Sus scrofa: one gene and its partners. The protein of the gene in region 1 purifies or fractionates together with the protein of each later gene. This does not show direct contact. Links are inferred from orthologs where the notes say so. Each region holds a gene or a part of one and is shown in the gene's direction. Other genes may lie near its edges.

What was found.
Region 2: the proteins of EIF2AK2 (region 1) and ZNF346 purify together in Homo sapiens (affinity purification with mass spectrometry; 3 studies listed by BioGRID and IntAct, with this or other methods). This does not show direct contact. The link is inferred for Sus scrofa from reciprocal best matches to the Homo sapiens genes EIF2AK2 and ZNF346.
Region 3: the proteins of EIF2AK2 (region 1) and DHX30 purify together in Homo sapiens (affinity purification with mass spectrometry; 3 studies listed by BioGRID and IntAct, with this or other methods). This does not show direct contact. The link is inferred for Sus scrofa from reciprocal best matches to the Homo sapiens genes EIF2AK2 and DHX30.
Region 4: the proteins of EIF2AK2 (region 1) and STAU2 purify together in Homo sapiens (affinity purification with mass spectrometry; 3 studies listed by BioGRID and IntAct, with this or other methods). This does not show direct contact. The link is inferred for Sus scrofa from reciprocal best matches to the Homo sapiens genes EIF2AK2 and STAU2.

What each region holds. Positions count from the first base shown.
Region 1 is NC_010445.4:103,038,274-103,045,675, forward strand, and holds the start of EIF2AK2 (interferon-induced, double-stranded RNA-activated protein kinase), read left to right. Parts: upstream 1-2,755; 5' UTR 2,756-3,081; intron 3,082-5,725; exon of another isoform or gene 5,726-5,810; intron 5,811-7,402.
Region 2 is NC_010444.4:80,890,724-80,897,985, reverse strand, and holds the start of ZNF346 (zinc finger protein 346), read left to right. Parts: upstream 1-2,408; 5' UTR 2,409-2,449; coding exon 2,450-2,624; intron 2,625-7,262.
Region 3 is NC_010455.5:30,598,925-30,606,469, forward strand, and holds the start of DHX30 (putative ATP-dependent RNA helicase DHX30), read left to right. Parts: upstream 1-3,114; 5' UTR 3,115-3,351; intron 3,352-3,584; exon of another isoform or gene 3,585-3,709; intron 3,710-5,134; exon of another isoform or gene 5,135-5,221; 5' UTR 5,222-5,316; intron 5,317-5,998; exon of another isoform or gene 5,999-6,080; coding exon of another isoform or gene 6,081-6,105; intron 6,106-7,030; coding exon of another isoform or gene 7,031-7,085; intron 7,086-7,545.
Region 4 is NC_010446.5:62,136,621-62,143,964, forward strand, and holds the start of STAU2 (double-stranded RNA-binding protein Staufen homolog 2), read left to right. Parts: upstream 1-3,525; 5' UTR 3,526-3,649; exon of another isoform or gene 3,650-3,738; intron 3,739-3,915; exon of another isoform or gene 3,916-4,008; intron 4,009-4,168; exon of another isoform or gene 4,169-4,305; intron 4,306-4,716; exon of another isoform or gene 4,717-4,811; intron 4,812-7,344. UniProt on the Homo sapiens protein: RNA-binding protein required for the microtubule-dependent transport of neuronal RNA from the cell body to the dendrite.

The sequences.
Region 1 (7,402 bases):
TTAAAAAAAAAAAAACTTTGCACAGCAAACCATAAACAAAACAAAAGGACAACTTGCAGAATGGGAGAAAATCTTTCTAAACAAAGTAGCCAACAACGGATTAAGCTCCAAAATATGCAAACAACTCATGCAGCTCAATATCAAAAAACATCCCAATCAAAAAATGGTCAGAAGATCTAAAATAGACATTTCTCAAAAGAAGACATACAAATGGCCAAAAAACACATGAAAAGATGCTCAACATTGCTAATTATTAGGGAAATGCAAATCAAACTTATAATGAGGTGTCACCTTACATTGGCCATCATCAGGAAGTCTACAAACAGGAGTTCTTTGTGGCACAGTGGATAAAAAGATCAGGCATTGTCACTGCAATGGCTTGGGTTCGTGCTGTGGCACAGGTTAGATCTCTGGTGCAGGAACTTCCACATGCTGCAGGAACAGTCAAAAAAAAAAAAAAGTCTACAAACAATAAATGCTGGAGAGGATGCAGACAAAAGGGAACCGTCCCACATTGTTGGTAGGATTGCAAATTGATATAAACACTATGGAAAACAGTATTGAGGGTCCTCAAAAAAAAAAAAAAAACTAAAAATAGAATTACTATGATCCAGCAATCCTACTTCTTGGCATCTATCCAGAGAAAAACCACAATTTGAAAAGATACATGTACCGCAGTTTCATTGTGGTCTTATTTATAATAGTCAAGACAATGGAAACAACCTAAATATTCACCAATAGAAAAGATAAAGAAGTTGTGGTACATATATGCAATTGAATATTACTTAGCCATAAAAAAAGAATGAAATAATGTCATGTACAACAACATGGATGGACACAGAAATTATCATACTAAGTGAAGTAAGTCAAGGACAGACATCGTAAGATATTTATTTGAGGAATCTAAAAAGAAGGATACAAATGAACTTATGTACAAAATTGAAACAGACTCACAGACTCATGGTTACCAAAGAGGAAAGGTCAGGGGGAGGATGGACTGGGGGTCTGGATTGGCATATGCACACCATTGTTTTTTTTTGTCTTTTGTCTTTTTGTCTTTTGTTGTTGCTATTTCTTGGGCCGTCAGGCGGCATATGGAGGTTCCCAGGCTAGGGTTGAATTGGAGCTGTAGCCACCGGCCTACGCCAGAGCACAGCAACGCAGGATCCGAGCCGTGTCTGCAACCTACACAACAGCTCACGGCAACACCGGATCGTTAACCCACTGAGCAAAGGGCAGGGACCGAACTCGCAACCTCATGGTTCCTAGTCGGATTCGTTAACCACTGCGCACGATGGGAACTCCCGCATATGCACACCATTGTAATGGAAAAGAATGTCAATGAGGACCTGCTGTTAGCACAGGGAACTCTACTTAATATTCGGTGATAAGCTATAAGGGAAAAGAATCTAATAGAGAATGGTTATGCATATATGTATACCTGAATCACTTTGTTGTACAGGAGAAATTATCACAACATTACAACTCAACTACAGTTCAATAAAGCTTTAAAAGAACAACAACAAAAATTTATATAGTATTTCTGCTACCCTGTAGTATTAGACTCTGCACCTGATTTTTGCTCTATCAGCCCTGAGGCTTACAAGAAGTAAGAAGATTTTCCCCTCAACCATAAAAATTTGTGGCCTCTGACCATGCTTGAGCTTGTCATTTTCTTTCCTTAAGCTCTTGGACAGTTCAGAGGCTTCAAAAAGTCAGAAAACTTGTCATTGCTACTGCCATTGTGGCTGTCACAGTCACCCCACACCCACGAAGCTGGTAAGTGGACTCCTTCAAAGAGCCACTAAAGCTAGAGCTTTTTGCGACCTCAAAGGGCACAGAAAGATGGCTCTGCCTCCTACCTGCCTTCCAAACTCCCATCAGTGTGCCACATTGGGGGAACTTAAATCAAGGAAAATGCAGTGTTTAGCCATTGATATCCTGTCATACAGGGGGTAGAAAAGAGAAGTGGGAAAGGACTCCTGGAGTCAATGGCCAATAGGTAATGTGTACCTGAAGTCCACCTTGGGACCACCTCTCTTACTCACCCTAGCTAGGATGCTGAGGTACAGACTCTTGGTTCTAATTCTGGCTCCTCAGCTTACTAGTTGTTACTTCTCTGTGCCTCAGGCCTGTTTTCTCATCTGTTAAATGGGCATAATAATGGACCTACCTTGCAGAACTGTTGTGAGGTAAGTCCTCAGCACTCCTCAGTCATTTGGTCGAGGCACCAGTATTACTTTGGGAAGGTGTCATAGTCCATTAGGTGAGTAGGTTTTTTTTTTTTTTTTTTTTTTTTTACAAATCTGGGATTTCTGGTAAGAACTTTGGTCGAAACCTCCAGGAGGTTGCGCGGGGAGCAAGTGGCTCTAACTGATGGACTGGCTGGTACAAAGGCTGGCAAGTATCGTTGAATGAATGGATGGATGGCTGGAAACAGACTGAAGGGAGATTATGCCAGCAGACCTCTTCATTCCCAGCCTGGTGAATGTGAGGAAGAGGCAGGGTGCTTTGGTGGTTAAGAGTAATAGAATCCTGCTTTGTTCTGGGACAGTTAATTTGCTCAGTTTCTAATGTAAAATGGAGCTGATGACATCCTTCCCCGCAACGCCGTCCCAAATGTTGCGTTGAAGAGCCCAGTTCAGGGAGCGCCCGCCACGCAGTGGGCCTCGGAGACCTCAAGGTCCTCCCCACATCCCGGCGGACTGATCCCGCCACGGGGGCCGGAAGCAGCATGAGAAGACCAGGTCAGGCCGCAGGGACCCGGACGCGCTCTACCGCGCAGCAGCGGCCGGCGGGTGCCCAGCAGGCTCCGCACTGCCGCCCGCGGGAACTCCGGGTGCAGGCGCCAGTGGCGCGCGATCCCGGAGCCTGCGCGGACAAGTGCTGACTGGTGCGGGAGGGGCCCGTGCGGCGGGGGAAGAAGGCGGAGTCCGCGGGGAAAACGAAACTGAGAGTGAGCGGCCCAGATCCCACCAGGCTTCACAGACTGCAGCAGCGCGGGTGAGTGGCGAGGGGCCGACAACCAGGAGCCACAAGGGCGCTCGCCATCCTGCATCCCCAGCCTGGGACTGGACCCTGGTAAGACCCCTGACCCCTGAGCCGCTGCATTGGGAGCGCTGTCCGAGGCCTTAGGTGGGGCGTTTGCTGAATTTGGGGAGGGACTATGCAGCGCGGTGGGAACCAAAGCCATTCATCTCCCGCGAAGATCTTTTTAGCAGAGCAAGTAATCACTTGCCCAGACGCAGGCTGGGGGCAGGGACAACCAGTGGAAAACGAAAAAGCCCCATCCTTGAGAGACAACAGATGGGAGATACGGAGGCCTGAATTGCCCAAAAAATTGGCTAAATAATCCCTGACCAAAAGTCTTTTGCCTGGACTGTCGCAACTGTTTCCCAAAAGCCCATCTTTAGCCCCCCCCCCCCAGCTCCAACTCCATTCCCACCCCCACCCCCGCACCGCCTCTCAACACCACGGGAACCTGACTTCACGTCCGAACAAGACAACCCCTTTCTGCTCCCCAGTAGCTTCCCATCTCATCAGAATCCCACACAGTGTTTTTTAGTGCTCCTTCCATTCTTGACCACGCAGGCCTTTTTGATGTTCCTGGAGCACAGCTCAGCACTATCTGCTGCCTCTAGGCCTTTGCACTGCCTGTGTCTTCTTGGAAGGTTCTTCTTCCAGATACCTGTGTGGACCAGTCCTTCGTGTTATTCTCACTTCCTCCAATATCACTTTATCAGAGCAGCCTTCCAGGAACAACCTGCATGTGAAAGAAGCCCCACTCTTCCCTTGCTGTCCCCCTTATTCTGCCTTGGTTTTCAATATAGTACTTATCATCCTGTGACACTTTTTATTGGGTTTGTCCATATGCCTCCACTAGTAAGTTCACAAGAGTAGGGTTTTGTTCACTAGTATAACCTAGTACATAATAGATATTCCTTATGTCTTTATTTAATGAGTGGTAGTTAATACATTCTCTTTTGAGTTCCAGAGTATGAGACCCGCCAATCAGAAGTTAAGAGACTCCCTGCTGTCCCTTAGGAACTTAGAATCTTGAGCAGTTTATGCCCTTGTTCTTCTCTTTCCGTATTTGAACCTGAAGATCCGTAACACTGGATGTGTAGTTTATTCATTTAATTCATCAGGTACTAGTTGAATGTTGTTTGTCAAGCAGTGTTCAGACCCTGGAGGGGGCTTGACCCGTAAGTGTTCACAGTCTGCCGTAAGGGAATCAAGGCACAGGCAAAGTAACTTTTGGGCAAGAGTAAGATGGACACATAACATTTTTAGTGATTATGATGGAATTTTCTTTTAGGAAAATGGTAACATATATTCAAATGAGATGTAGTTGAAAGGAAACCTGCTGTTTCTTTTTTTCCAAACTCATAAGTACTTATTTCAAACAGGCCAATTGAGCACCTTATTGGTTTACACCTATGTTTTGCTTAAATTCAAACTGGCTTGTCATTTTGAACATCAGCAGTTATGTAGAGGTAAAAGTTCTGTGGATTTAGGGCATTCCATGGAACTTTGGTTTAAATAATTGCTAAGGACTCTTCCATAACTGGTGTTCTGAGATCTATGGCCTCCTGCAATTGGATGCATGGTCTCATGGTTGTGACTAAACTAAATGACACTTTGGTTCCTAAAAATAATGACACAGCTGCAGATCCTTATCTGAAACCCTTAGGTCAGGTATGTCCTGGTACTCAGGGACTTATGGATTTTTTAAAAACTAGTAAGTAATTTAATGCTCTTAGAGTGGAGCAGCAGTCTATCATAAAACATTTCTGCAGTGAAATGTATAAATGTTGTCTGCAGACAACAAAGTGTGGTAAAGACTCTAAATAACTCATGTTAGTTCAGGTCTAGATGGGGGGCTACACACTGACCGAAACCAAATCAAATGAAAATAAAGTAAACCTCAGTTTTCAGTGCTTTTTGGAATTGGGGATTGTAGGCCAGGAGCACCACTCACTGAGGGGCATTGCTGTGGGAGACCCTGCTGGATGCTTTTTGTCTGATTGACTCTTCACAACAACCTGTGAATCAGGTGTTTTCATTCCTCTTTTCTGGTCACAAATTAAAGGTTAAGAAAGGTGCCTATCTCAGATCTATGTGGCTTGACAGCCTAGCTCTCTCTATAACACTAAGTGGTGTTGCAAAGATGGTGCCTTTGCTCAGATCTAAGCCCTTCCAGCCACCAGCATTGCTCCCCTAAACCACTGCAGCAGCCTCGACTTAGTCTCCTGACCTCTACTCATGCTCTGCTTGTTTTTTCCACAACTGCCCCCATGCTCTGTTCTCTGCATAGCATCAGATTGATCATTAAAGACATAAATCCAATCACATCACCCCTGTGCTGAGAACCCTCAGCTTCCCATTACAAGTGGAATAACATCCACAGTTCATTCATGGTCTGTGTGCTGTGGCACCTGCCTCCCTCTCTGACTCACTTCCCACTTGCTCCCCTTGTTCACTGTGCAGCAGTCTCCTTGGCCTTTTTGCTATCTCTCCAGAAGCCATCATGGTGCCCGCCTTAGGGTTTCCTCTGCCTGAGATGAACCCCCCCCCCATATCTAAGTGTGATGGGCTTTCTCATCATCTAGGCTTGATTTAAATATTGCCTCCTAAGAAGGGCCTTCCCTGACCGCTGTATCAAAGCATCTCCCTCATATCTCTGCCCCTACCTACTAAATGCCCCTGTATCATTTCATTGTAGCACTTCCAGCCATCTGGTCATCATATACCCACTCCTATTATTTGTTTTTGGACGTTGTCTTCTTTGTTTCTTCAGTGGAGTGCAGGTAAGGACTTGATTTGTCTTGCTCACATATGGACACCAGTGTTGGAACAGTGCCTGACACTTGCTAAGCATTTGCTGAATGAATGAAGAAAGGATGCACAGAAAACAACAGATGAGAAAAAGAGAGACAATGAGGTTTAAGATGGAGTGCTTAATTTTAGTGACTCAATCTCTCATTTCCCTATATGCCATCCAGGTGTTCAGAATTTACCACTTGCCACTGGGTGGCAGTGATACAGAGATGAGTAAGACATAGAGCTGGCTCCCCAAAGAGCTCACTGACTAGTGTAAAAAGCAGTCAGCACTATGATGGGAGCTGACAAGGGGTGGCAGGCCCATGTAGAGGTACTAGCTGCTCCCTCAGCTTCAAAAGAAGTATATATTGTTCCCACAGATGAGTAGGAATTTCCTAGTAGACAAAGGGTATAGGTATTGGGAGAGAAAAACATGTGACAAGTCATGGAGATGATGGAGATGTACAGATACTTTGGTATTCATTTATTCATCATTGAGCCTCTATGATAAACCTACTCCCTTCGCTCTTGTTGCTCATGGTCTCTTTTGGAAGACAGTGCGTTAAATTAGCAATTGCAATAAAGGAGACAAGGGCTGTGATAGATCATCAAACCAGGACCTCTTCTAAAGTGTCTGGGAAGGAATGTTTGACTTGAGATCTATAGGATGCAGGAGTTGGCCAGACAAAAGCCAGGCAGAAGGGTCATATCCAGAGCCTCTCAGAGAGGAGTGTGTTGGACAGAAGCAGTTGGGAGCCAGAAAGAGTTGCTAGTGGAGGCATTCTTTTCAGAATGATCATTGTGTAGGTGGAATTTAAAGCCACAAGCCTCAAGGTGATCAGCAGGGTAGTGAGAATAAGTAGAGCAGAGAGATCTGAGAACTGGACCCTGAGATACTACAATATTTAAAAGAAGGGGAGATGAAGAGGAACCAGGAAAGGAGACAGAAGGAGTAGCTTGTGAGAAGGGAGGGAGACCAGGAGAGGGTGGTGTCTTAGGTGTCCAAGCTAAGAAGGGGACAGGAGGGAGAATGGAATGAGCAACCATGTCATATGTTGATTATGAGTCAGGTAGACAGGGACTGAGAACTGACAAATGACTACTAGTTTTAAAGTTGGGGAAGCTATTGGTGACCTTAAGAAGAACAATTGTGGTGGTTTGTGGGACATGCATGATTGAGTTGATGTTTAAAAAAACATTACGATATGGCTGTTTTAAAAATGGAAAATAACAAGTGTTGGTGAGGATGCAGAGAAATTGGAACCTTTGTGCATCACTAGTGGAAATAAAATGCTATAGCCACAGTGAAAAATAGTTTGGCAGTTCTTCAAAAAGTTAAACATAAAATTACCACGAGATTCAGTGACTCCACTTCTAGGTATAGACACAAAAGATTTGAGGGTAGGATTTGAACAGATATTTGTACAGCAGTGTTCATATCGGTGTTATTCACAATGACCAAAAGGTTGAAATAACCCAGATCTTCGTCGACAGATGAATAGATAAACAAAATGCAGTATATCCGTACAGCAGAATATTATTCAGCCTTAAAAAGGGAGGAAATTTTGACACATTCTAC
Region 2 (7,262 bases), on another chromosome or scaffold:
AAATCTTTTTTAAGATAAGTAATATACAATAATGGGTTTTTAGGCTGGTCATGTGGTATTGGCAAAAAGACATGGATTTGCATTCTGAGGACTAGTTTGTTCAAGTATGGGCTCTGTGGCTAAGTAGCTGTATGGTCCTGACAAAACCTTCACCTCTCTCAGTCTTCCTTTATTGTCAAATAAGAAAGAATCTACATAAGAGAGAACCACCCCCAGGATTCGAGGATTAAATGTTACAATGTATGTTGTTGTTTTTTGTTTTTTTGTGGTGGCCCTGGAGCATATGGAGTTCCCAGGCCAGAGATCAGATCTGAGCTGCAGTGGTGGGATGGAACGCACATCCCAGAGCTCCCAAGATGCCTCTGATCCCACTGTCCAACAGTGGAAACTCCTATATGTTAAAGGTGCTTCATAACTATAAAGCTCTGCACAAACACCAGTCATCTATTGCACTGGAAGCTTTGGAGCCTGACATGAGGCCTGACACAGAGCTGGCGCTCACTATTTGCAGTCTCAATAAATAAATACCACTGATGAGTTGTGTGATCTCAGATAAGAAAAATCTCTTTCTCTCCTTCCTCATCTGACACCACGACTCCAATGTCCACCTTGTTCACTGGAATACAGGCATACTGTCCTTTTTCCTGTTCCTCCAACACAGCAAGCTCACTCCTACCGTTGCATCTATTTCCTCTCCTGGAACATTCCTCCCCAGTTCTTTGCATGGTGTCCCCTTCTTACCAATCAGGTCTTAGGTCAACTATTTCTTCAGAAGCTTTCTCTGACCACTTTGACTAATGTTCCTCCCATATCATTCACCCAATGTGTGTTCCTGTTTTATTTTCTCCTTAGCAGTTAGCACTATCTGTTGACTTATTACACTTTCCTTCACTAGAATAAAAAGCAAGATAGAGCTTCCGCATCTATCTTGTGCACCACTGTATTCCAATGCCCAAAACAACATCTAGCTCATAGTAAATTCTCAATAAGCATTTGAAATAACTTTATATCAAAAGTTTCACTATTGAAAAAATATATACTATGTACCTATGAAGATTCAGGCTCTATTTCAAGATGCTGGGGATTCAGCTGAGAGCAAAATAAACAAAAATCTCTGCTCTCCTGGGGCATGCCTTCTAGTGGGGAAACAATAAACAAGATTAAAACAATACCATATCTGATAACAGTCAGTGTTAAGGAGAAAAAAAAAAAGCAGGAAAGGAGGATATGAAGTGTATGTGGAGGGGCAAAATTTCAGCTAGGACAGCCAGAGAAGGAAATAAAGAGAAGAGCCACAAGGCTATATGGGGAAAAGGCCAGGATAACTGGGACAGGAATGAAGGGGCTGGAAGCTAACACAACAGGAGATGAGGTCAGGGAGGTTAAGAGAAGTCATACTGTATAGGCCTTACTGGCTAAACCAAGGACTTCGACTTTTACAAAGAGTAAGATAGGAAGGTTTTGGAGAATTTCAGCGCCGGGGTGCCACCATGTGGCTTGTTAAAAGAGGATCTCTGAGAGTTCCCCATGTAGCTCAGCGAAAAAGAACCTGATCAGGATCCATGAAGATGCGGATTTGATCCCTGGCCTCGCTCAGTGGGTTAAGGATCGAGTGTTGCTGTGAGCTGCGGCGTTGGTCGCACAAGCGGCTCAGATCCTGAGTTGCTGTGGCGTAGGTCAGCAGCTGCAGCTGCAGCTCTGATTCAACCCCTAACCCCGGAACTTCCATATGCAGCAGGTGTGGCCCTAAAAGACAAAAATAAATAAATAAATAAAATAAAAGAGGATCTCTGGCGCTGCTGTTTTGGGAGAATACCTGAGGGATAAACGAAAGGGCCGGTGAGGATGCTAAAATAATTGTCGCGCGAGAGAGTGCTCGGAAAGACTGAAGAAGGAGCAGACGCAGCGGTTGGAATAAATTTCAGCTTGTGACAGTTACGTTGGAGTACAGTTTAGCAGGAAGACTAGGCTGGGGGTTAGTACCTGGAACTCAAATGGTATGTAATATTAATAGTAATCGAATCATGGAAATGGACAACCAGCTCTACCACTTACTAGGAACGAACTCTTGAGTAAGCCATTTTTAAGTTCTGGGCCTCAGTTTCCCTACTAGTGAAACAAATATATTCCCACATAACAGGGCTTTCATGAGTATGAAACGAGAAGTGTCAAAAGCTGACCGTGAGCAATGTGAGAAACCTGAGCCAAGGACTGCACGAGCCTGTCCCGGAGGGAGGGGGCTGCCGTGGAAGCCGCGACCAACTCCACTCACAACCTCCGATGTCCGAGCAGCAGCGTTGAAAAGGTAGCCGCTCTCCCGCACTGTAACGTAGTCTGCGGTGCCCAAACCTCGCGAGATTTGTAGGCCGGGCAAAGTCACCCTCCCACCCACATCTCGCGAGACCCACGTTCCTGAGCGGCTATCGGCAGGTTAGAGCTTGCGGGGAAGATGGAGTATCCCGCGTTGGGCTCAGTGGAAGCAGCGGACAGCGGCGTGGCCCAGCTATACAACAGCTCGGAGGAGCGGGAGGGCCGGGAGCTGGATGCGCTGCGCTTCGACCGCGAGAGGGCGCGCCGCCTCTGGGAAGCAGTGTCCGGGGCCCAACCAGTGGGGAGGGAGGCAGGTGAGTCCGGGGGTCTCAGAGGCAGGAATCCCCTCGCCCGCCTGTTCATTTCCTCGGGAGTGGCGGAAGCGCGGGGCGAGAATGCGGATCAGCCCCCGGGTCTACGGTCACACCCCCTGGCGCCCGACCTGTCCCCTTGCGCGACGCGCCCCGGGACTCCCTTGACTCGTGCACCCCACCTGGGCCCGAGCGCCGTGGGTAGCTCCACTGAAAATCGAGACCGCGGCACCCCAAGAATCGCGTGCAAATGATCAAGGGCCTTTTCATGCTCGGGCGTGGGATTCTTTCCCCCGCCTTCTTCATGCACCAGAGCGCATATCTTCCTAAACTCCAGGACTGGAATCATCTGGGCGTGCCGTCATCACCGTCTCAGATCTGCAGAACCTTCCTCGCCTGGCCAGACTCTTAGCCCTTTCACTATACCAATCTCCAGGTTTCCCGGTCCTAGTGTCTCTTGCCTCCCTTCTCATGCCCTACACTTCCGAGGGCCCTAGAAGGCCTTACACCATTGTCCTTCCTGGACTTGGTGACCGAGCCCTGGCCTACCCCCTGCTTCTTGATATCTCTTGTCTCCACCAGCTGGGTCCCTTTTCAGAGATGTGGGCCAGGAGCCTGAGAACCTGACCAGGATATACTTTGACTCCAGCTTCTTTGTATCCCAGTGTTGTGGAGAACAGGATACACAAGGCTACCCAGGGGGCCACTTCTGGACTGAAGCTTCCCAGGTTGACTTGGCACTGAGTAAGATGGAGTAGAAAAAGGAGGATGGAAAAAGCTGCCCTGACCCTGCTATGTGACACCCTTCACAGTCAGCAGAGCTATCTGCTTAACTAACCCAGAAGTACACAAACTGGGCCTTTGTGCTAATCCTGTCAGGTAATCTGCAGGGAAATCAGATTTCTCTAAAGGCTTGTTTACTTGCTGAGCAGACTAATTTTGGAAAGTAAATATGTTGCTTGTGAACTGATTGCCCTGGGATAAATGGAATTTTTGTCTAGGAAGATGTTTAAATTTGGAGTGGTATGCAGACCTATACCCTGATGAATATTTCTTAGTCCAGTCTGACTCTTAAATTAGTATAGAGCACCTGTCTCCTTCATCCTCATACATTCAAATGTATTTAGCACAAAGTTGCCTCTCCTCCGCCCTCAACCTCAGCAATTTTCCTTTCATTCATTTGACATTCACTGACACCTGCTCTGTTCTCAAGACTGGCTGTCCTCAGAGCCACAGAGATGAGGAAAATACTGTCCTTGTCCTGAGGAGCTTGTAGTCTAGTCCAGGAAGCAGACACCAAAACAGTTGCAGTATAATGTAGTGGATGCACTAAAGAGGAATATCTAAGAGTTGAAGGTGCACAAAGAGGAAGTGACCTTTGTCCTCAAGGAACAGAGAAGGCATACCCTGAAGCAGAGAACACAGCATCTGTGTGCTGAAAAGTGAACTGTCTGTGTGTGCACACTGTCACTTTGAACATTTCTCTCCTTTCCTCACTTTGTCCAATAATTTATCTGAGGTCTAGGTAGATAACCTGTAATACCAAGTCCTACTCAACTTGGTTTTTTGTTTTTTCTCTTAGCACTTTCATTGAGTTATAATTTACCTACCATAAAATTCACCCATTATAACTGTACAATTCAGGAGTTCCCGTCGTGGCGCAGTGGTTAACGAATCCGATTAGGAACCATGAGGTTGCGGGTTCGGTTCCTGCCCTTGTCAGTGGGTTAACGATCCGGCGTTGCCGTGAGCTGTGGTGTAGGTTGCAGACGCGGCTCGGATCCCGCGTTGCTGTGGCTCTGGCGTAGGCCGGTGGCTACAGCTCCAATTGGACCCCTAGCCTGGGAACCTCCATATGCCGCGGGAGTGGCCCAAGAAATAGCAACAACAACAACAACAACAACAACAAAACAAAAGACAAAAGACAAAAAAAAAAAAAATAACTGTACAATTCAGTGATTTTTAGTAAAACTATGGGGTTGTATGGCACTAATCTAATTTAGAATATTTCTGTCACTCCAGTTAGTTCTTTTGTGCCGCTTTACATTAAATCTTCACTTTCACCTCCTCCTGTAGGCAACCACTAGTTTTTTTCTGTCTCTGTAAATTTGCCTTTTCTGGACTTTTCGTATAAATGGAATCATATATATGTAGTATTTTGCATTTAGCTTCTCTCACTCAATATGTTTGGTTTTGGTTTTGGTTTGTCTTGCCCGTGCCTGTGGCATGTGGAATTTCCTGGGCCAGGGATTGAACCCGCATCACAGCAGCTACACAAGCCACAGCAGTGACAGCGCTGTATCCTTAACCCACTGAGCCACCACAGAACTCCGTCACTCAGCATATTTTGAGGTTAAGCCAAATTGTAGTGTGTATTAAAACTTCATTCCTTTTATTGCTAAATAGACTTTCATTGAATAGATCTTGCTTTTTTTAATCCTCTAATAATCTCTGCCTTTTGAGTGGGCTATTTAGACTATTCACATTTGATTTAGTTATTGATAAGGCTAGATTTACTGGCTCTGCTTCACTGACCTTGTGAAAATTAACCCTGTACTTCACATTCTAGATCTCTCCGCCTCTGCCCCATCCTCTGCTTATCTACTATAGGGATACAAATTAAATCCTGTAAATCAGTTGCCTTCTCATAAGAGCTGAAAGATAGAAATGCTGTGAAGATCATATTCCTATGGCTGTTGGCTATAGTTACTATCAAGAAAGGTCATGGAAGGAGTTCCTGCTGTGGCATAGTGAGTTAAGAATCTGACTGCAGCAGTAGGGGTTACTGTGGAGGCACAGGTTTGATCCCTGGTATGGTGGGTTAAAAGGATCCAGCATTGCTGCAGCTGAGGTATGGTAGGTCGTAGCTGCAGCTCAGATTCAGTCCCTGGCCCAGAAACTTCCATATGCCACAGGCATGGCCATAAAATAAACAAATAAATAAGAAAGGTGGTAGAACTATGAGATCTTCCTTCATCAGTGTTCCTGCATCCGTTCTCCAGCTTCATAGGTTAAGAGGCATGCGCAGTGACAATGGAAGCTGCTTACTGCCAGCAAGGCTTCAATGGAGGCCTCAGAAGCTTTAACTCACCTATTGAAACAGTTATGCATTGTTCATAGAGACATTTCTGGAAGGCTCAACTCTAGCACCTTCAGCCTTTCCAATGATTTTCTAAGCACCTAATGTCCAATATGAAACCTGCCCATTTCTGGTAATTGGTAGTTGGATTAGAGTTGTTTGTGGATAACTGGGCAACTTTCTGGCCACCTTCTCAGAATTCTGATGATTCATGTAAGTTATGTTTCCCTCTGTGGGAAATATTATGAACTTCTCACAGATTTTGTGAGTCAGGAATTCAGGAAAGGGTTGGCTGGACATTTCTGACTCAAGGTCTCTTAGACAGTTGTAGTCTCATGATGGCTAGAGCTGAAACAGCATTATAGGCTGGCCAGGCATCTCTCTCTTTTTTCATGTAGTCTCAAGGACTCTTCATGTGATTTCATGCATGGAAAAGTTAGAGTTTCCTCACACTTTGCAAGAAAACCACTTCCTGGTGGCTAAATACTTTAAGAATAAATATTCCCAATTTGGTTCATTTTATCATTCCTGTCTTCCACGTGTCTGTGTTGCTTAGTGGTCAGCCAGTGCTTCAGTAAATACCTGGAGCCCATAAGGACTCAGTCCTCTGCAGCTGGATCTGTGGGTAGGTAGGAAAGTGCATTCAGAGTTCAGGCCGTTTTAAAGTCAGCTCCGGAGTTCCCGTTGTGGCTCATTGGTAACGAACCTGGCTAGTATCCATGAAGATGCGGGTTTGATCCCTGGCCCTGCTCAATGAGTTAAGGATCCAACATTGCTGTGAGCTGTGGTGTAGGTCACAGATGCAGCTCCAGTCTGGCATTGCTGTGGCTGTGGTATAGGTTGGCAGCTACAGCTCCACTTTGACCGGTAGCCTGGGACTTACATATGCCATTGGTGTGGCCCTAAAAAGCAAAAATAAATTAATAAGTAAATAAATAGGAGTTCCTGTCGTGGATCAGTGGTTAACGAACCCAGCTAGTATGCGTGAGGACGCAGGTTCAATCCCTGGCCTTGCTCAGTGGGTTAAGGATCTGGCATTGCCATGAGCTGTGGTGTGGGTCACAGATGCGGTTTGAATCCCACATTGCTGTGGTTGTGGTATAGGCCGGCACAACCCCTAGCCTGGGAACCTCCATATTCTTTGGCCCTAAAAAGACAAAAGACAAAAAATTTAAAAATAAATAAATAAATAAAGTCAGCCTTGGCTTTTACCTTCTGTCAGGCCCTTTTGCATCTCTTCTGTACATAGTGCATAACCTCAGAGTTGGCCAGGAGTATGTGGCTAACTTGGGCCCTCTTAGGTCCCCATTGCCACACAGTCTCAGCCACACCTCAGGCTATAGTAGGGCCTTTGTTTAATATAGCCAAAAGAAAAGTCTTTAATTTATCCTCCGAGACCACCCTCCTCCAGTTCTCATCTGTTAGTTGCTCAAGTTCAAAACCTAGGAGTTGGAGCTATCACTGTGGTACAACAGGATTGGCGGTTGTCTCTGGAGCACTGGGATGCAGGTTCAATCCCTGGCCCAGCACAGTGGGTTAAGGGTCTGTTGTTGCTGCAGCTG
Region 3 (7,545 bases), on another chromosome or scaffold:
AAATGGCATGAGTACACAGGACAAGAATCTGAGAGTGAGAAGCCGTTATCTAAGCACTATCTAAGCCGTTATCTGGAGCACTTCTGTGGCACTGGGGATACAGATATAATCCAAAAGGTTGGCATTCTACTTGGGGCAGACAAATCAAAAGAATACTTTGGGAGTTCCCATCGTGGCGCAGTGGTTAACGAATCCGACTAGGAACCATGAGGTTGCGGGTTCGATCCCTGCCCTTGCTCAGTGGGTTAACGATCTGGCGTTGCCGTGAGCTGTGGTGTAGGTTGCAGACGCGGCTCGGATCCCGAGTTGCTGTGGCTCTGGCGTAGGCCGGTGGCTACAGCTCTAATTCAACCCCTAGCCTGGGAACCTCCATATGCCGCGGGAGCGGCCCAAGAAATAGCAACAACAACAACAACAAAAGACGAAAGACAAAAAAATAAAAATTAAAAAAAAAAAAAAAAAAGAATACTTTAAGTGCTACCACACAGGTAAGAATAAACTGCTAATAGAAGCTCAAAGTTCGGGAGTTCCTGTCATGGCTCAGTGGAAATGAATCTGACTAGCATCCATGAGGACACAGGTTTGATCCCTGGCCTCACTCAGTGGGTTAAGGATCTGGCATTGCCGTGAGTCATGGTGTATGCCACAGATGAGGCTCGGATCCTGCATTTCTGTGACATAGGCTGGTGGCTACAGCTCAGATTCGACCCCTAGCCTGGGAACCTCCATATGCATGAGCAGGGCCCTTAAAAAAAAAAAGAAGCTCAAAGTAGGGCCTAGAGAAATGAGTAGGAAACTGTCAGGAGATGTGAAGTTTCTGGACAGAGATCTTAGCAAAGAATAAAATCTAGGGACTGCACACAGGAAAATAAGACAGTGATAAGGAAATAACTAGGAAATAAGAGGTGAAATATATGGGAGGGAAGGAAAAAGACACTCACTTTGATATATAATGGATCATTTTATCAGTCTCTCTAGTTACAGCCATTCATTAAGATTAGTTCAAGGCTTAGGAGTTCCCATTGTGGGGCAGTAGAAACAAATCCGGCTAGCATCCATGAGGATTCAGGTTTGATCCGTGGCCTTGCTCAGTGGGTTAAGGAGCTCTGGTGTAGGTTGTAAACGTGGCTCAGATCTCCGCATTGTTGTGGCTGTGGCCGACAGCTGCAGGATGGATTTTACCCCTAACCTGGGAACTTCCATATGCTGCCGGTTTGGCCCTAAAAAGGAAAAAAGAAAAAAAAAAAAAGTTTGAGGCTCAAGAATAAGGAAAAGCTCTTCTGGGACAAAATAAAACATAAAATGTGCCAGGAGAAAAAGTGTTTATGAGTTCCCTTGTGGAGCAGGGATAAGGATCCAGCATTGTGCCTTGGGTCACTACTGCAATGCCAGCTCAATCCTGGCCCAAAACCTTGCAGAAAAAAAAAAGTATTAGAATGTTCCACTTGTGCCTTTTGCAGGGCTTCCTCTAGGTTTTGCTTTAAAACTTATTTACATGCTTTTCTCATCCTCTCTAGCAGATTAGAATTTCCTTTGCAGCAGAGACCATATCTTTATCACTTAATATTCACAAGGGCACTTCAAAAACAATCTGAATGAGGCTTAATCTATTACCTCCAACTCCCATCTCCCTTAATTATAGTAACAGTGCATAATACCTCCAGTTACTGTGGTACCACCTCAAAGCCATCACTCCACACATCTGTAGCCAGGGACCAGCCTGGAGCTCTTCAATCGCCCTCTCATTCTTATCTTTCTTGTCTTTCACCACTGAACATAGTTCAATCCTTCATTACTTTCATTTGGTTAGTATCCAAGGTAATATTTTTCCAGCCAACTCTACTCCCACACTTCCAGAATAACTTCTCTAAAATACAGTAAATTTACTCTCCTACTTGAACTGTAAAAATGTCTCACAAAAAACAATTGATTAAAAATAAAGTCAAAATCCCAGCATAGCATCCTGCTTTTTCTGCTCTATTTTCCTAAACATATACATATCCACCCCATTGGTCACATTGAACTATTGAATAGTCTTAGGATTTGCCTTTTGTTCCACCTGGATGCCTTTGCTCACGTGACTTTCTGTACCTTTTCAACACTATACTTCCTCTCCAGCATTTATAACTAACTTTCTGCTTTACAGATGTTTTCATCTTCTTTACTGGCCCTAGACCCCTTGGGAGCTGGGTCTTCGTTTCTGCCACACAACTGCTATCCATCAATATCCCTGAAGGCAACATCCCACACACATCATAGCCCCACGCCCTGATTAAAACAGGTAATAATTATTTGCATGTTCCATGCTCACCTCTCTCACCCTTCTGTCCCACGTTGAGATAAAATAATAAATACTTGTTAAATTTAAATGTTTGGACAAAAACGATGGGATACGGCCACATTTTAGAAAGCATATTCTAAGTCTTTCCAGCAGTAAAATCCTGACCCAGCTTCAGAGCTACTCCCCACTGAGATGTCTCCTTTTGACATTCACACTGGAGCCTCATTTGAAGGAATGCAGCACAAAACAAGGACAATGCCCTTTCTCATCTCAGGCGAGAGGGAGGCGGGGGCACGGGATCTTTAGACACGCCCAGCAGCTCTCTGACCTGCGGTCTCCCTCCACTTACAAGTGCCCCCTTGTTCTTTTCCTAGCGTTGTACTGTTCACAACGCGCGATCGTGTTAACTTCATCTTCCTAACAATCTTGTGAGGCAGAAATCCTCATCTCCCTAAAGAAACAGAAGATCAAAGGGAAGATGGAGAAGAGAAGAGGCGTGGCAACGAGCCGCGGCGGGGAAGCGGGTAGAAGCCCGGAGCCAGAGTTGGATTTTGTTCCCGGCTCAACCCTGACCCGGCCTGTGTGTTTACCCGCAGCGGGAGGCGCGGGGCGGGTGTGCAGAGGACCCTAAATCTCTCTCACAATCACACTCGGGATGCTAAGCCACAGCGAAAAGGGCGGCGGCCCAGGCTCGCTTCCTGGACGCCCCCAGGGCTCCTCGCGTGCTCATCCTCTTAACTACCCTGCCGGAAGTCCCGCCTCGCCCACCCCTCATTGGGCCCGGCGCCGGAGTCTCGCCGCGGGTTGGCTACCCGGGGGCATGAGCCCTGGGCGGCCACTGAGGGCCTCAAGCAGGGGACCAGCTGCAGACCCGCGGAGACGCGGGGTCGAGCGCGGGAGGCGGGGCTGGGGGCACGGGACCGGGAGCTCCCGCGGCTGGCGGGACTTCCGCCACGGGACCCGGAAGCGGCCGCGCAGCGGCTGGTGGGAGTTGTAGTCCGGCCGTGGTTTGGGGGGGCCCGCGGCTCATGCGCGGTGCACCGAGGCTTGTTTCACATCTGTAACAACAGGTGAATTGGGCTTTTTATTCTCCCCTTTCGTGCCCCCTTGAGGAGCCGGCCGCGGCCGGGGGTGGTCGGCGCGAGGAGGGGCTCGGGTCCGACCGCCGGCTTGGCGGAGAGTGGGGTGGAGAAGCGGGCTGGCCCGTGAAGCAGGCCGGGCATCCTAGGCCTGCCCGGGAAGCCGGCCGGGCCGAGCCCTGGCCAGCCAGGCCTCGGCCTGCCGTTGCCATGGAGCCGGGGCGGGGGCGGGGGCCAGACCGGTCCGCTGGGGCGGGCCTCGTAGCCAGGGGCACCGCGGGGGCCGCTGGAGAAGCCGCTTCATTGGCGCAACAACGCCTCCGCCTCAGGGGATGCTCTGTTTCCCGAGGTAGGGCCTGGAGGAAGCCCCCGGAGTGCCCTGGGACCTTTGTCTGCCCCCGTGCCGCCTGGACCGTTCGTCCAAAAGGTGGCCTGGTGCATTCTGGCCCCCCTGGTTTGCCTCCTTTTGCACCGACCTTTTTACTGGGGGAGGCCAAGGGGTGAAGTGTTCTTTGTTTGCTGGTGGTGACTTGCCCCATTTCGCAGGGGAAGACCTAATGCATGTTGGGTCCTTTGTTTGCAGTGAACTGAAGTCCCAGGGGTCCTCAGAACCCTCGAGCCAGGAGTATGGCGTTAGCATGCTGTCTAGCTAGTCGACGTGTAGCAACACTGCTCACTTTAATTGTGATTTTGCAGGGCAGAGATTGTTCACTTTCCAACCTCCATCTACAGGGGCTTGTCATACACTGTAGCAAGTGGACTGCAGGTGGCCAGTTGCAGATTCTAAACGTGGGTTTTAGTTGCAATTTACTAGCCAAAGCGAAAAGAGCATTGTTTGTTCGTTTCCCTTGCAGTTTCTTTGAAGGCAGTAACCCCACTGGCATAGTGGGACTTGACTGCATTTTATAGTTTACACTTAAATCTTGGAATCTTGGAGTTTCTGGAAGGAGAACTCTTTTCCTGATATAGTATTTGGGATTTATTTAGCGCTTTTTATTTATGTAGCTGTTTTAGGTGCAGGAAATACATCCTTTGCTGCATTTTCTGTGTAGGTTGTCCCTTTACCTCCAAAAGATACTTACTCTCCAACTGTTTTAAAATATGGAATTGTGGTCCAAAGTTTATCAGTTGGACCTTCTTGCCCCTTTCAGCCTTAAGATGCCAACACAGAATATTCTTTCAAAGAGTGAACCATGGGACATCTAGGCAACAGCGTGATAACATGGGAATAAGTAGTATAGTATAGCATGGAAAACTTTGGAGCTCAATCCCTTAACTGCAGATTTGCATTGTGCCTTGAGACAGTTATGGGATGTTGGGCAAATTGTATAAGTTTCTCTTCTCTGGGAAAATCTGCCTCAGTTTCTTTCCCTGGGAAAGATATTTCCTACCTCACTGGTAGTTTCATAGCTTGAGTGAGATAAAGTGTGTGGAAGTACTTTGTAAGCTGTAAAGATGGTACTTAACATTTCAGTCTTGATCTTTTCCCGATTGGAAAAGCTTTTTTATCTACCTTAGAATAGGTTCATATTATAGTCATATGGAAATAGAGCTCAAAACTGAAGCAAGTATTGCTCTGGGCTTGGAGACGATGCTTTCAGGACTACATGTCCCTCTTTACTGTGACATAATCTTTCTTGGTGTCTTATAGATGCTGATGTAGGGCATCACACAATTTGATGGGTCTGGAGTGGGTCATGGCAGGTTCTGAAGTGAGGCCAAAGTGTATAATATGTGTTTTCATGCCACTAACAAAACTTGTCCTTGTTGTTAGAGTTAGTAAATGAATTTCAATGGTCCGGAGCAACTTTCTTTCCCTGCGGGGGCCATCACTTTAGTGACCCAGCATTGTACTTCCCAGGAGGAGGCCCAGCCTCGTGATGAGGAATAGCAAAGAGAGAATTCAGCTCCAGTTTAAAAGCCTTCAAAATCTGAGACTGTCACTGCTCTTGTAAGGTAAGTTGATCTAGTCATGCACACAAAGTAGTGGTGGGTCTCAGGCTCAGCCACACTATAAAGCAGAAGGCATGTATTAAATCCATTTGTGACTGTCTTGGAAGAAGGGTATCATTTTAAATTAATCATTATAGACTCTGTCTTTGAATCATCTCATAGTGTCTCTATCTGGAGTTAAGTGGTGTTTCATTATGCAAGAAATTTTGACATAATGTTATTTTACTTATCTCTAGATTATTTAAGAAAAACTCTAAACAAAGTTTTCCAACATAATACTGTATAACAAGGAAGACAGTTTTCTTTTTAGATCTCTTTGAAATGTTCTAGGGCTTTATAAACTAATCTCTAAAAGATCCTATCCTGAATCTCACAGTATATTTTATTAAGACTTATACAGGAAAAGATAGTGTTACATGAGCCTTTGTTGGTGTGGAGAGGATCAGGGACTTTTTAAAAGCAAAATGAGTCTGTTTACAAGCAAAATAGCTTTTACAACTTCATAGCTAGAAAGTATTGTTTTTTAATTAATAATCACTTAGATGTTTTAGATTTTATAATACTCAGATTTTTCTTTAAAATTAGAATCTCAAATTATACCCTTTTTCTTTTAATGTGGGTAGAAGGAGTCTATAGAATGTAACTTATTAAAGTAAATTGTATCATTGTTGATATTGTATTGAAGTTTTCTTTCTGAGCTACCATATCCTATCGGCTGAAATTTCCGGCATCCCTGGGGGAGAGGAGGCCATCAGGGCAGACCTGCTATGGACCTGAAAGATTCGTCCCCAGGTCAGCCCTCCACCCCCACCTCCCCACAATTTGAGAATAAGAGGGAATAGTAGTCAGGAGCAGGAATAGGCCCCATTAGACTCCTAGTAATCTTGGACATCATCCAGATTTGCTAAAATGTTGTATAGGTGTTTTTAAACTAAGGCCATATAGGGTTACTCCATCAACCCAGGAGTACTACAATATTAAAAACATCTGTAAGTCTGAGTTTGAGTGCTTTGTAAAACAAAGTTGTTAAAGCAGAGGTGTTCTTTATTGTGTGTGTGTGTGTGTGTGTGTGTGTGTGTGTAAGTCTGTAGGTATATTCCTCAGTTAAATGTGCTAATGGAAAAATGCAGCAAAATTTTTGGCCAATAGTTAAACTTTATCTTAATATTTGTTATTTCATAGAGACGCCACCATGAAAGGCTTTTTGTTTCAAATCACTCTCCATTTACTCTTTGATACTGTCAGTCAAGTTCCATTCCTAGGGTCTTGACTAGGTTTTGTGAAAGCCCAATATACCAGTTTGTCCATAAGGCAAACATCAGTCCCATTTCCTGATGGCACATGAGAAAAAGGGTCCATGTAGAATTTTATTTCTTCCTACAAGTCCTAGGATAACTGCAAGTATTGTGATGAGGTGGAAGTATATGTCTCTCATGATGAGATGCACCCCCTTCTGTTCCTTCTATTTGGTAGGGTTCAGGGAGTTTAGGACAAAGAAAAGAAGAAAGCCCTCAATTAGAAATAAAGATGTGTAATTACTTTCTAGTGGAGATGGCTCTTCCTTCCCTAAGACTGGGAGCAGCAGTTGGGGCTCATTAGTAAAGAACTTCATTTGTCTTGTCTTTTGGACAGTGCTTTCTGTGTTACTGAAGTCTTCTTTGTGGGGTTCCTGGGCCAGAAATATTAACCATTGCCTCTTGGCCCTGTTTCTTCTTAGGATTCCAGCTTTCACTCCTGGCCAGAAATGTTCAGCCTGGACTCATTCAGAAAAGGTAAGAATGTAGTTATATGTAGTAGGCCCTTCCTCTCTGTGATAGGTGGCTGTGAAAATCCCTCACCAGTGTGTAGTCCTTGGACTCCCTCTTTGAGTAACTTTCCAAAGTCCTTTCTCAGCCTTCCTCTTGCTTGGTGCTTGTAATATGTGCCACCTCCTCTACACCCAGGTCTTTGTGTACATTTGCCCCCCCCCACCAGAATGATCTCTCACACACATTTACTGCTTATTGAAATCCTACTATTTTCCTTTTTTTTTTTTTTTTTTTTCTTGCTTTTTAGGGCTCCATGTATGGCATATGAAAGTTCTCAGGCTAGTGGTTAATCGGAGATGCAGCTGCTAGCCTACACCACAGCCACAGCAATTCAGGATCTGAGCTGAGTCTGCAACCTATACCATAACTCACAGCAATACTGGATCCTTAACCCATTGAGTGAGGCCTGGGATCGAACCCACAT
Region 4 (7,344 bases), on another chromosome or scaffold:
TTCATTCAGCCAGCATTTATTTTATTTTTTAAATTTTATTGAGGTATAGTTGATTTACAAAGTGTACTTCAGGTGTATAGCACAGTGATTCAGTTACACACACACACACACACACACATATGTACATATATATTCTTCTTCATGTTCTCTTCCTTTATAGGTTATTACAAAATATTGAGTATAGTTCCCTGTGCTAAACAGTAAGTCCTTGCTGGTCATCTATTTCTTATATATATATAGTAGTGTGTATATGTTAATCCCCAAATCTTAGTTTATTCCTCCCCCTGCCTTTTCCCTTTTGGTATGTTTGTTTTCTGTGTCTGTGAGTCTTTTTCTGTTTTGGAGTAAGTTCATTTGTATTTTCTTTCTTTTCTTATACTCCACATATCAGCAATATCATGTGATATTTATCTTCTTCTGTCTGGCTTCTTTCATTTAGTATGATAATCTCTAGGGCCAGTCACTCATTCAGCCAGTGTTTACTGTTCAGCACAGGCACTGTGCTAGATGCTGCAGAAGCAAAGATTCAGGAAGCCATTGTTCTTGTCTTCAAGGAGCTGATGGTATGTTGGAAGAAACAAATACTGTGTCGTGATAAAAACATGTTCAGGGGAGTTCCTGTTATGGCTCAGCAGGTTAAGAACCTGACATAGTATTTGTGAGGATGCGGATTTGATTCCTGGCCACGCTCACTGGTTTAAGGACCATGATGAGTTTGAAAGCATTATCCTTTTCTGATGGTTGAATATTTGACTGCAATGGTACCTGGTAAAGACACACTGATAAATTTGCTGCTTTGTTTTAATCAGCTTCCAATAGGACCAACACTCTTCAGATATCTATTATTTTTAACTCACACATAAACATTTCACTGTAAGGTCAAATCCCAAGATGTGTGGATTTCCATGTTACTCAGGTGATTTCATGCCCTGATGCTATCTACACACCTTGAGCCATTGAAAGTGCTGATTCATGCTTAAAAATAACTTTCTCTGTGATAATTATAGCTTTTTTTTTTTTTTTTTTGCTTTTGGCTGCAACTATCCTGGGCCAGGGATCGAACCTTTGCCACAGTGACTCAAGCTGGTACAGTGACAACGCAGGATCCTTAACCTGCTGAGCCCTGAGGAAACCCCCCATTATGGCTTCTAAAAACTCATTGTATTTGGGGTTTAAATGTAACATGCTCATAGTCTCCTTAACAAGTGGATAACCAAAGACTTAAATCAGTTTTAAGAAAAAGTTACAGTGGAGATAAAGTTTTCAATTAATTTTAATGACCCGAATTAGAGGGAATGACACTTCTGACCACTTCAGAGTCCTTTCTAAAAGCGTAAACTCATCCATTTATTCCAAAGGCATTTACTTCCACTTACTGGCTATTGGATGCTGGGACAACAAAGAGGAATGAGATACAGAGACTGGCCTTAAACAATGTACTGTTCGCCATGTGGAGTCAGGCTCAATAATAATCTGATACACCAACTAAGTCAGAGGAGAGAGTCAGAGGAAAAGTGTGGCTTGCTCAGAGGAATTAGAGAGGTGATTTTATTTATTTATTTTTTGGTCTTTTTAGGGCGGCACCTGCAGCATATGGAGGTTTCCAGTCCAGGGGTCCAATTGGAGCCGTAGCTGCTGGCCTACCCCACAGCCACAGCAATACCAGGTCCAGGCCCCCTCTTCGACCTATACCACAGCTCACCTCGACACCAGCTCCTTAACCCATGGAGAGAGGCCAGGGATCGAACCTGTGTCCTCATGGATGCTAGTCAGATTCATTTCTGCAGAGCCATGACCGGCACTTCAAGGAGGTGATTTTGGAATGATTTGAAGGATGATTTGCTCCTTGGGTGAGGAGAGGGTGGACTGCAGGGAGAGGAGGTAGCTGAGGAGAGGCACACAGGTGGGAGGCTTGTCCCTTGATACTGCAGGTGTATGGACTCATTCAAAACATTCAACAGGTATTTGAATGCAAGGCCTGAGCAGCTAGAAGTCCTTACTCAAGGACTAGAGCAGATTTAGGGAGGATGCACCAAGTTTGAAGGAACCAGCAGAGGTGAAAAGAGGGGAAGGAGCTAGGACAGAGTTCTAGGGGGAAAATGCAGCTGTAGCTATTATTTTACCAAGTACATGCCAGGCTCTGTTTAAAGGGCTGTATACATACTATCACAGTTAAATACATGTTATCACATGTTATCTCCCCTTGAACAAAAGAATAAACAGACTCATTGGGTAACTAACATGCCCATGGTCTCCTGGCTAGTAAGTGGATAACGTGGCCTGGTTATCTAATTCAGATGCCCTTGCTTTTAAGCACTAGCTACAGTGTCTTCCCAGCTGCTCAGGGACCTATGGTTTTAGGTGATGTCTGAAATCACAGGCCTAGTCCACACTGCTCAGGTGGAGAACTGACACTGGGAGGGAACCCTGGGAATAATAATGCAAATGGACAAGTGAAAATACAATAATAACCCTATTTCCAGACTTTATTGCCGGATTATTTATGGTGCAATTTATGGTGCAGTGGCCTGTTGAATTTCACTGGGCTTAACTGGGTTGAAGTTATCCGGACATCACTAACCCACATCAAAACCAGGACGAATCAAGAAGGAATTCGAGTTTTCTGGCACCCTTGGCTCAACAATCTAGGATCTAGGACACTGTTCTAAGGTGATCATCCTTATTGGTTCGAAGGATTTCTTTTTTATGTGACCACAGACGATTTCTTTTGTGGCTGAGGAGGTTGTCGGGCCACGCTGCGGCTCTTGGAGAGCAGGTGATTACCGATCACTAGTGTTTTCTGGGCGAGACAGTTGCGCCAACCCCCTCCCCTTCTCCCCCGCCCCCCTCCTCCTCGCAGTCGAGAAAGGTGCAGGATCCGCTAAACCGTGCAGCGCACAGCGGCGGCCAGAGCCGACGCGGGATGGTCGCGCGTCCCCAGCAGAGCAGAGAGGGCCAGCGACGGAGCCTGGGGAAGGTACGGGCGGGGGATCGGGGTTCTGACACTGCCTGGAAGGAGCAGTGGGTCAACTGGGTGGGGGAGACAGTTGCCGAGTGCAGGTGTGGGAGAGGCTGCCCCAGGCCCATCCTTTGCAGCCGAGGAGGCGGGCAGCTGGACTGGAGACCAGGAGCCTGGGGTCGGGGTGGGGTCCCCGGGCACTCGCTCGCCCTGCTTCCCAAAAGTCCCTGGGGACCGGCCCTGGCCCCGAGGCCGGCCTGCCGGCGCCACCACCGCAGCGCCCGTGGCGGCAGCTGCTGCGTCCGACTGCCGGCCGCCAGGGGGCGGGAGTGGCGCCGCGAACAATGGCCGCGCTCGGCCGCGCGCCGGCGAGTGGAGGAAGGAAGGGAGGGAGGGCGGGCGCCCGGTGCGCGGCCGCGGGGCGGGGGGGCGGGCCAGGGGCGCGCGCGCGCACACCGGGCGAGCTGGGGCGCGGGAGCGGCTGCGTCGGCGGGGGCGCGCGGCGCGGGCCCGGGAGGGCGCGGCGGGAGCGCCGGGGAGGCGGGCGGGCGGGCAGGCGGAGGCGGGGGGCGGGGAGCCCGAGGGGTGGAAGCCGGCGGCGGCGGCGGCGGCGGCGGCGGCCGAGTGGGGTCAGTTCTCTGTAGTGTTTGCCAATGTTGGAGCCGTCTGCAAAGTGTCCCTGGCGAGAAGGTAAATTCCCTGGAGGAGGGGTGCGTCCGGGAGACCCCGACATCCGCCCCGCTGGCGGAGGAGACAGAGGGCGCTGGGGAGCTTTGCAGGTTCGCGGCGCGCGGCGAACCCCGAGAAGAGCGGCCCCTTCGCGGCCTCCCCTCCCCCGCGCCTTCCCTCCCTCCGCGGGCTCGCTCCGGGCGGGAGGGGGAGGGAAGGAGGATGGCGGGGGCCGGGGAGCTGGGGAGGTAGCGAAAGAATTGGGGGGGGCGTGTGTGGAGGGGGTGGGTCGACACAGGTGTCTGGAGAGGAGGAGCCGGGAGGAAGGCGAAGAGGCCGGTGCGAACGTGGTGCGGTGGCGGGGGGGTGTGTGCCCCAGGGTAGTAGGGACCTGGGAAGGTGGGGTCTTGGGGGCGGGGGTGGGAACCGGGAAGGGGGGATAGCGGGGGTAGTGGCGGTGCGGGAGGGGGAAGGCTGGGGGGAGGTCCTTGCGGAGAGGAGGTTGGGAGGGGAAGGGAAACTGGGGGGGGGGGAGGCCCATCCTGGGAGGGTCTGCGGGGAATGGGCCTAGGGGCGCGGGAGCAGCGGCGGGGCGGGGGCGCGCCGGGGGGCGGCGGCGGTGGCTATTTCTGTAGAATGGGCAAGTGATGAAGACGTAACGCGCCGAAATGGGGAAGGTAGGTGGGGCCGAGGGGGACAAAATATATCCTATGACAGGCAAGTTCTGCCGTGGCTCCTACGAACTACTCCGGTGAGGGCTCTGCTTAAAGGGGTAGTTGGCAGTTGTGACCTTGCGGAGGTGAAGGGAGTCGGGCGAAGAGGCAGATCAGTTACAGACTCCACGGTGTAAGGACAGAGCCTCCAGTCCCTCCGGGGAGAGCCGCGTGGATTGTGTCGTGGGGGCTGTTCTGCAGAGGCAATTGAGACGCGACGCTGATATTCTTCGGGAGGGGGGCTGGGATAATGGCCTCGGGGTTCTGGAAGTCCCTGGAAATATGTGCAGAATTTTGCATTTGTGGATAATTTTCTTTGGAAAGGGGCCATACTTGGCGTGACACCCGCCCCCCCCCTTCCCTTTCCCTTTTAAGGTTTAGAACTACTTGAGTTGAGAAGGACCGTTCAATTAGAGGAAGGTACTATAGGATTTTCAAGTGGGTGGTTCCTGCAGAAAGCTCTTTTAAAGGTATTTCACTGTTCGCTGCAAACCTTTATTTTTAATGTTTGAGTTCACAATTTTGGCGAACTTTTGCCAAGTCTTACTGCTCTTCTGATGCATCCTTATGTTTTAAGAAAGCATGATGAACATTTGAAATCAAAATTGTGATGGGCAGGCAGGATAATAGTAACCTTGTAGGAGAAAAGATTGCAACATTGCTCCTGAAGGCTATTTCTTCTCCGTCCTTGATTTCTTAAGATGATTCACATACACTGTTGTGAATTGAGCTGCAGTGGGGAAAAAAAATCTCATTTAATAAAACATCAAAACCAAGACATTCTACATCTTGCTTGTTTTGTAATAGGGCAAGTTTTTCATTTTGTCTATATTTTACTGCAAACCAGAGATAACACATACCACTTGAATTGTAGATTTGCTGCATTTTGCAGCAGGCCTGTATTAAATTTGTGAAGCACTTACACCAAACTATGTGATGTCTGTGTTTTTTTTTTTTTTTTTTTTTCTGGCTATGGTTTTAACTCAAGTCACCGTAGCCACATCATTCCATGGCATTGTAATTTGAAATTTATTCCTCAGTGATTATTAGTTGGTAGGTATGGTGCAGATTTCCCATATGCCACTAAAATTTTCCTTAACTTGTTTTGTATTTGTAAAAATATTGCTGTATAATTGTATGTACTGTTAATTTCAGATAGAATGACATGTAATTTTTTTTTTTTTGCCCTGTGGCATGTGGAAGTTCCAGCCCAGGGATCCAAGCCGTGCCACAGCAGCAACCTGAGCTGCTGCAGTGATGCCAGATCCTTAACCCACTGCACCACAAGAAAACTCCACCAATTTTTAAGTTTTAGTTTTTTTATTTGGAAATAATTATAAACTTACAGAAAACTACCAGGAATAAGAACAATACAAAGAAAGGCTATTCATGTCACTGTAACTTAGATTCATCTGTTACCATTTTACCAAATAATCATTTGATCTCTCTTTGTCACACACACAATATTTTTTTCCTGGACCATTTGAGGGTAAGTCACATCATGGCTCTTTATGCCTAAATACTTCAGCATGGAAAATGATTTTTAAAATCCACATTTTAGCATATTTGGCTTGCCTGGAATGAGGTTCTAGGGAAGAGTTGCTTGGTCTGGTTTAAAGCAAAGAATATCAGAAATATCTAAGGTGGTCATCACAGTTATTAGGATATAAATGATATAAAAAGTGAGGCTGAGTGCTTTTCCTCTGTTAGGATCAGGTCCTGGAAGATATAATTGGCCAGTATGTTGGTTTTTTTCCGTTGTAGTTAACCTCCTCTTTACTCCTATTGCTCTGTCTTCTTTTGAACACTGAGCACTGGGTATCTGATCATTTATGTGTACAGGTCATCATAAAGAAAAGGGAAGAGTCTAGATGTTGCAAAATTGAATTGTTTTGCTCTTAGACTGAAGAGTGGGACAGATGCACAGTGTAATCAGATCATGATGGATATATTTGTGCCTCATCTAGATAATCAAGAAAATACTAGATGAGTGTCGGGGAGCCATAATATTATAGTTCATATTTGTGTATCGTTGATTTTGAATAAAAAGTTCTAAATGTTTTTGCTTTTCGTATTGTCAAATGAGACATTTAAGTGAGTATTGCCTGTCAGTTGCGGGATGGGTGCCAATATCAAATTTATAGATCTATTACTTTAATAATGCCATTTAATAAAGCAGGGTTTAATTTTGCATAGTTTTCAATTAACCAGAGAGGCAGGATGTCGTAACAAGAACAGAGAGTTATAGCAGTACAATTCAGATACACGTTGGACCTTTAATTCTTGATGAGGACACGTCTTCTCCAGCTAGTAGTGCCTTCTCTTCATAGACTGCCCTGCCTGTTTTCACTTAGTAGCTTGGAATCTGGAACTCCGTGTCCTAATGTGCCTGACTGGATAACACTGTAGGGCATTTTGGGGACATGTGAATAGGTTTCTCTAAAAGTACTTAGCTGTAATGGAAATGGATATCAGCTGGGAACTTTTTTGACAGGGGAGTGGTGAATTTTATGAAACTGTAGGCAGTGTAAAATGCTGTTTTGTTGATCGGACTTGCTATTTTATGAAGTTGTTTTAAATGTAGGATGGTAGGCCTGGCATGTCTTTAAAGAAGAAATGAAGTGGGCATTCCAGATTGTCGAGAGTTAAAATTTATATTGATAAAAGCCTGATGTAACTTGTTTGTGAAAAAGCGTAAGTTCAGGATGTTGTCCAGTTACCTCACAGAGCACTGTTGCACACAATATTACTTTCATGTTTTCATTTATATGGATCTTTATTTTATAATTATGAAGGAAAGGATTACAAAATATTTAAAATTGTATGGTCAATTTTAAGTGAATAGATGCTTTCATCTTTGTTTCTTCATAAAACTACCTTGTGTAGTTCCCTGGTGGCCTAGTGGTAAGGATCTGGTGTTTTCACTGCTGTGGTGTGGGTTCAACCCCTGGTCCAGGAACTTCTGCATGCTGCGGGTGTAGTCAGAACAAAACAAACAAAACA